Linked DNA regions of Canis lupus familiaris. The protein of the gene in region 2 interacts with the protein of the main gene of each other region in a pairwise test. Links are inferred from orthologs where the notes say so. Each region holds a gene or a part of one and is shown on either strand. Other genes may lie near its edges.

What was found. The genes of interacting proteins can lie anywhere in the genome.
Region 1: the proteins of CDH1 (region 2) and CBLL1 interact in a two-hybrid assay, tested with the Homo sapiens proteins (2 studies listed by BioGRID, with this or other methods). The link is inferred for Canis lupus familiaris from reciprocal best matches to the Homo sapiens genes CDH1 and CBLL1.

What each region holds. Positions count from the first base shown.
Region 1 is NC_049239.1:13,103,213-13,107,196, reverse strand, and holds the start of CBLL1 (E3 ubiquitin-protein ligase Hakai), read left to right. Parts: upstream 1-1,182; 5' UTR 1,183-1,556; coding exon 1,557-1,569; intron 1,570-1,696; exon of another isoform or gene 1,697-1,824; intron 1,825-2,014; exon of another isoform or gene 2,015-2,178; intron 2,179-2,205; exon of another isoform or gene 2,206-2,337; intron 2,338-3,984. UniProt on the Homo sapiens protein: E3 ubiquitin-protein ligase that mediates ubiquitination of several tyrosine-phosphorylated Src substrates, including CDH1, CTTN and DOK1. Targets CDH1 for endocytosis and degradation.
Region 2 is NC_049226.1:81,347,855-81,351,363, forward strand, and holds part of CDH1 (cadherin-1 precursor), read right to left. Parts: intron 1,940-3,509; coding exon 1,715-1,939; intron 1,407-1,714; coding exon 1,176-1,406; intron 1-1,175.

The sequences.
Region 1 (3,984 bases), on a different chromosome or scaffold from region 2:
ACCGAAAAACTTGTTTAGGAAGCTTCAGATGCCGCGGGGAAGTGTATTTCAAGACCCCAGGAAGGGGCACCTGGCTGGTTCGGGTGGTTGAGCATCTGCCTTTGCTTTGGCTCAGGTCGTGATCTTAGGGTGTGTGGGGGGGTCCCCTGCAGGGAGCCTGCTTCTCCCTCTGCCTAGGTCTCTCTCTCTGTGTCTCATGAACAAGTACAATCTTTAAAGGCCCCAGGAGAACCTCCATCCACCGGCGAGCGCGGAGCACTCAAGGTTCCGCTCCCGAGGACTCCACGCCGATGTCGCTGCAGCACTACCGGCCCAGCGCACCGCCGCACGCGCTCCCTCCAGGATTCGGGGCCGGAGAACGCTCCTGGGAGGAGGGCAGGAGAATCATCATCATCATCTTCTTCTATCGATCCAGGAACTCTGGCACGGAAAGCGTGAACCACCCAAGGTAACGATGTCGTCACCAAGGGACGACAGGAATAGAACCCAAATCCCTGGGCTCCCAGGCTCGTGTTTTCTCCTTAATCGTGCGCTCCTTCCCACTCCTCCGAGAGCACCAGGTGCGAAGGGTCGGAGAAGGGAGCGCACACCCGGAGCCCGGTCGGCGAGGCCGCCGCCGCCTCGCTCAGGGGCCCCCGGACCCACTCCGCGGCGCTGGCCGGGGACGATGAAGGCAGCCGCGGCCGCGACCCCCGGCGACCAGGAGCTGGAGCTAGGTACCGCCCCGCTGCCCCTCCCCCCGGGCCCCGCGCTCCCCGCGCTCCCCCGCTCCCCCGCCGGGCGGCCCCGCCCCGCCCCCACCCCCACCCCGCGGAGGGGCGCGCGGGGCGCCTTGCTGCGTCTCCGCCGCTACCACACCTCCTCGGTGGGAGCACGGGCCGGTACCACGTGCGCTCCGCGGGGCCCGCCAGGACGGGGCGGGATGGAGACCGCACGCCGAGAGCCCTCCCCGCTCCCACGGCGCGGCCGTCCCCCGGGCAACCTCCCGCCGAGGACGCCTTCCGGAGCGCGCGCGGCTACGCACCCCCCCCGCTCCCCGCACGCCCCCCCCCCCCGCCCCGCGCGGAGGACGCCGGCGCGCGCGCACTGCGGGCCATTCCAAACCGTTACTCCGCCCGCCGGGGTGGGGCCAAGCCCAACGGCCGAGTCTGCGCAGTTGCGCCCGGCCGGCTCCGAGGCCGCCGCGCACTACAAGTCCCAGAAGGCAACGCTCCGCGGGGGCGAGCAGCCGCCTTACCTGCCGCGAGTTCGTTCCACCGGCTGCTGGTGCTCTCCCCGTTCCCCCGTGCCCTCGGGTCTCATTTCTGTAGTCAAGGCTTAGCACCTTCGACCTGGAAGCTCTTGGCGTACCCCCCTTTGTCTCCCTCGAACTATGCCAGACGCCCTCACCGGAGTTGGGTAGTGCACCCACCCGACAGAGGGGAACCTGAGGAGGCCCAAGCCGAGGCAGCTCGGTCGCACTTCCGCCTCGCGGGCTCCGGAAGGGAGCGCGCACGCGCGCCCTGCGACTCCGGCGCGGTTGACTTCCGCTCCCACTGTGCCCCGCGAGCCGAATCATGGATCACACTGGTAAGGAGGCGGAGGCAGCGGGGGTCCCGGGTCCATGCCCCCTCGGCCGGCCTGGGACTGGCTGCCCGGCGGGCGGAGCGGGGATGCGCTCGCCCTGCAGCGCTGGGGGGTGGCGGTGAGAGAGAAATCCCACAGACCCCTCCCGGTGCCCGGCAAGGGCCTGCCGTTTCCCGGCCTACCCTCCGGTGTGGTACCTACAGCCTCGGTGCCGGCAGCAGCCGCCGCTCTGGTGCTGCGGAGCTCCCCGCCCGCACGGTGGGCGGCGCGGCCTCGTGGGGACCGGGGCGCGCTGCCTCCTTTTTTTTTTTTTTTTTTCTTTTTAAACCGTGGTGCCCCGCTCTGCGTTTCGGGTGCCGGCGGGCAGACTCCAGGCTCAGGGTCGGGGCGCGGGAGGGGGCTGCGGGCGGGCGCTGCGGGGGGCGCTGCCGGTCCTTCGTGGACCCGAGGCGGAGCGGGGAGCCAGGTGAGAGTTTTCGGAATCCTGCTCGGACCGGCTTTTCTGTCTGAGCCCAAAGCCTGCTCCGCGCTTCGGCTGTGGTCCTTACTCCTCTTTCGGGGGCGTTTACAAAGGAGAGCTTAAATTCAAGATACCCGCATCTCTTTCTCCAAGTAAGAAGGACTCCGCTCTTCGTTGTGTGTTGTTTGGCTTTTTTTTTTTCATCGTGGCTTTTGGATAGTGAGTGAGTGAACCTGGGGCTGCTGTTCCGTGTGGTTCCATCAGCCATATCCTAAGTAGGATAAAAGGATACTTCTTGTATTAAGTATTGGGTAAGGTGTTCTCAGTCATCAAATGCCTACTTAATTTTGTACATATAGGCGTAAAATTATTTCTGTCTATAAAATTTAGTGAGTGCTAGTCAGCAAAACCTATGCCAGACCCCAGTATGCCTAGAGAGGGAATGATGGACTTGGAAACCAGGCCAACTGCGTTCCTGGCCTCATGGAGATTACATTCTGTTGGGAAAGACACGATAGAGAAGTTTTTGTTGTTGTTGTTGTTTTTTAACCTAAGCATTACAGATCATGATGAGCGCTTGGAAAAAAAATTAACAGCGTCTGTGGTAAAGACTAAAGGAGGAGGCTTCAGAGAGAGTGGTCAGGGAGGGTCTTTCTGGATTTCTAAGCTGAGATATGATAGATGAGAAGAATCCCTGCATGGAATTAATCAGGAGTAAAGCGTGTCTAGCAAATATGAAGACTCTGAGGAAGGAAAACGTAGAGGTCAGTCAGCTACAGCTTAGCAAGAAGCAATGAGCCCTAAGAGATTGGAAGGGACGGTGGGAGTCAGATGGTACAGGACTTTGAAGGCCGTGGTAAAGATTTTATTTTATTTTTTAAAGATTTTATTTATTTATTCATGAGAGACAGAGAGGCAGAGGCACAGGCTGAGGGAGAAGCAGGCTCCATGCAGGGAGCCCGATGTGAGACTCAATCCTGGGACTCCAGGATCACGCCCTGGGCTGAAGGCAGGTGCCAAACTGCTGAGCCACCTGGGGATCCCTGAAGCCATTGAGCAGGAGTACAGGAGGAACATAATTTCTTTTAAAAACACAGTAACTTGTTTGTGGAGAATGGTGTGAGAGACAAGACTGATAGAAAATAGTTTAGATGGTGATTGCAGTAGAACACTAAGAGAGGCTCGGTAATGAAGTTGGTTCGGTTTAAAGAAAAGGGGAGTGGGCATATCGAATGTTGTGGTGGAATTCAAATAGGAGCTTTGTGAGAGAAAGGAGAGATGACTACCTTTCTGGTTTGAGCAGCTAGGCAGTGCCCGTTACTAAGTTGGGGAAAACTTGGGAGGAAAACAGACGTCTTTTTTTTAAGTGGTAAAGGGAGACTTGGGAACTTGAGAATGAGATTTTTGGCTGCAAAGGATGAGCTGTGTACGAGGATATATAAGGGGAGATGTCAAGTGGAGATCAGAGGAAAGATCTGGGTTGAAAAATATGTATTTGAGACTTATGAGCAGGTAGCTGTTGTTTTAAGGAATGGGGATGGATGAGATCACTCAAAGAACAAGAATACAGAGAAGAAGAGGGCCAAGAACCGGGCTGTAAGGAACTCTGGTTTTGGAAATTTTGTAGAATTGAGATCTGGGACCTTGGTGTTAGAGTAGTAAACATGCAACTTCAGCAAAACACTTCTCATTACAGCCCCTTACTAGAATTGAGAGTGAAGCGCCTTCCACAGTTTAGAGGATAGTATGTTAGGAAGTTGTAGTGTGGCTGGGTGTGTCTCTGAGTATTATCCTAGTTCTCCAAGTTAAAATGTTGACCAGAAAGTAAGAGTCATCCTGGCATGAAAATATTCACAAATGATCTGACCACTTAAAAAATTAGTTCCTACTCAGATATCCCTGCTGCTCCTTTTCTGTTTTTAAAAGATTTTATTTTTAAAGTAAGCTCTGCACCCAAC
Region 2 (3,509 bases):
AAAGTGAAAAGGAGTTCAGAGGGGTGGCAGGAATGTGGTAACTATTGGGAGGACTTTGGCTTTGATTCTGAATTGGAACCACTGAAGGTCTGTGAGGAGGGTTGGGTCAGCCTAAATGTGATTGACAGATACGTAATTATTTTTAATCAGTTCCAAGAAGTGTGACAGAGATCATATGATAGCTTGTATATTCCTTATTTTCTCTTAAGACAAAAATCATGTAAGCAAGCTCTAAAATCTGGTTTCCAAAGTTTTCATGTGACCTTGGGATATTTCGAGGATACATGTGATTAATAACTAATTGTTAAAATTTTTTAAAGCTATTTCTTATGAATGAAAAATGTATTAAACTTCAGTGTGTTTTCTTTATAGGCGTTTGTGCCCCCCAAGTATCTCTATAGGATACACTACTGAAGTAGTATTGCATTGAAACAAGACTTGGAGAAAAAATTTCTTAGAAGTACCCAACCTCCTGGGATGCCTGGGTGACTCAGTGGTTGGGCATCTGCCTTTGGCTTGAGTTGTGATCCAGGGATCCCAGGCTCCCTACAGAGCCTGCTTCTCCCTCTGCCTGTGTCTCTGCCTCTGTGTGTCTCTCATGAATAAATAAATAAAATCTTAAAAAACAAAACAAAAACAAAATCCCAAGCTGGTCCCACTGTTCCCTCTAAGAACTTTCTTCTATTCCAGCCATGTTGGCCTCCTCTTTGCCCTCCACAGTCCAATCAAGCCTTCTCTGTGTCTTCATCAACCATAGGAACCAGCTTGTACATGGGCTCAGGTGAGGATAGTGCTGCAAGGCCTTGCTGTTCCAAGTTGGCCCAACGACCAGCAACATCTGCACCCCCTGGGCGCTGGTTACAAATGTGGAATCTGAGGCCCCCACCCCAGACCTCCCAGATCACCGGATCTGAATTCTCATGCAGGTAAAAGGAAAAAAAAAAAAAAAAAAAAAAAAAAGAACCCTAATGCAGGTGATTTGTAGGTATTTGAGCATGAGAAGAACTGCTGTGAGGGACTGAAAGAACAAAACAGAAGGACTGGGCTCCTGCTAAAATTTAATGGAGTAAGGCTGCCTTCCAGTCTTGGCCAACTTATCTCTGAACTGTTCAGTAAGGGATAAAGATCCCCTATTTTAGAAGCCAAAGGCTGCAACACTTGCCAAGCATACATACTTAGTAGAGCGAGGATTCCTCCGAGAATGCCCAAGATGGCAGGAACCTGCAAGCCTGCTTCGGCGTAAGGCGCCGTCCTCTTGCAGCTGTTGACGACACCTTCGCAGTCGCACACAAACACATCTAGGGTGGTCACCTGGTCCTTGTTCTGGTTATCTGTGAGCTTGAGATTTATTTTGTAGTCACCCAACTCTAAAGTTTTCTTTGGCTTCAAAATTAGAGATTCACGAGCTGGAGGAACCAACAAAAATAAATGATGGGACAAGGGGAGAAAAAAAAATCTCATTCTAGAATAAATACTGGGGTAAAGAAAAAGGAACTGTTTGGGCTGCAGATTACTGGGCAGTATGTTGCAAGTCAGATACCAGAAAGGAAAGGGACATTTGGTGGAATGCCTGGAAAGCAGAAGGGGCAAATAAACAAACATCAAACAAAAGCGGTGACATCTGGGAGCTGAGAAGGGAATTTCAGAAGGGGACGGTGTTGGAAGCAGGGAAAGCATGGGGTCAACGTTTCTGAAGTAAGACTCCAATTCCCACCTGGGTCATTGTACTCGATGGTCCAGTTGACACTTGCGCCGTGTGTTAGTTCTGCTGTGAAGGGAGATGTGTTGGGGGGAAGATCTGGATCAATGATGTTGATGACATGAGGCTGTGGGTTTTTCTGGCAGAAGTCCATATTTCGAGGTTCTGGAATGGGGCCATTGTCATTCACATCAGAGAGGACCAGTAGAAGAGTTCCCGTTCCAGTAGCAACTGGAGAACCTAAGGAAAAAAAAAAGGAAATACCATAGCTCAGAAACATTCATTCATGAAGCTTTACTGCCTCCCTCAGACCAAATCCCAATCTTGGCTTGGCTCTTCAGGGCTCCATCACCAGAAGCCCTCCCCATCCCAGGTCATCTTCACTTTAGATTGGGCTGCTCTCTGGCACCACTTTAATTATTATTCAAATTATTCTCATACCAAGGACATCCTCATCCCTCTTCTACACATACCTTTATGCATCTATTAAACTTTAACCATTCTAAGAATTCCTCATTGCCCCCCTACCAGTTCTCCCTTTTCAGAACTTCTTTGGCTTTAAGGTCATTATCAAAGGGTTGAGCTTTTTTCTTTTTTTTTTTTTTAAGATTTTATTTATTTATTCATCAGAGACAGAGACAGAGACAGAGAAAGAAACAAGGCAGAGGGAGAAGCAGGCTCCATGCAGGGAGCCCAATGTGGGACTCAATCCCAGGACTCCAGGATCACGCCCTGGGCCGAAGGCAGGCACTAAACTGCCGAGCCACCCAGGGATCCCCTAAAATCTTTTTTAAAAATTTAAAAATAAATATATTTATTTATGACAATTCGACACCACCATACCTTAGTCATTATTATCAGGTCAGGGGTCAGCAAACTAATACTTTCAGAGCAATTTAGGAACACAGCTGTGCTCATTCCCCTTTTACAGATTGTCTGGCTGCCTTTTTTTTTTTTTTTTTTTTAATGTTATCTATTTAAGAGAGAGAGAGAAAGAGCAAGGGAGAGTATGAGAGGGAAGGAAAGAGAAAAGCAGGCTCCCCAGCAGCAGGAAGCCCGACACAAGGCTCTATCCCAGAACCCCGAGAACATGACCTGAGCTGAAAGCAATTAACCAATTGAGCCACCCAGGCACCCCTCTATGGCTGCTGCTCGGGTGCAAAGGCAATCAAGACCACATGGGTCTACAAAACTAAAATACTCCCTTGGCCCTTCCTTTACAGAAAGTAAAGGCACCAACCTATGTTCAAGTGACATCTCCTCCACTTATTTCCAGGCCAAGCTGGAGCGTTCCCATGCAGCCAGAGACAGCCACCCGGTGTGGCTGAAGCCAGGGGCTAGCTTTCCCTTCAGGCAAAAGCATTCTGTGACTGAGACCCCATCATGGCCTTATTTGCCTTGCTCTCTGCTTTTAACCTGCTTTCAAATTACAGCTGCAGGAGCACGCTTCAGATTCTAACCGACAGGCCAGACTTATCCAAGGACATTCACAATGTGATGGAGGCTGCATCATTCAACAGCCACCTGTCCAGCTCCATCATGGCCTTACCTGCCCTGCTGTGTTTTCAGATCGTCAAGCCTGGAGTTACTACCTCCAGAAGTTGGGGAGTTGGTAAGAGAAAGAGAATCTATCACAATCCTAGGAAGAGAGCAGGTTTGAACAGTTCCCACATGGTTTCTAAATATCTAGCTGAGGGATATACTTGCACATAAAGGCAAGGACAGGGACATTTACTTATAAAACTCATGGAAATAATGAACAAGTGGAAACCACCCCAGTGCTCTTTAAGATGTGAATGAGTCATTGATG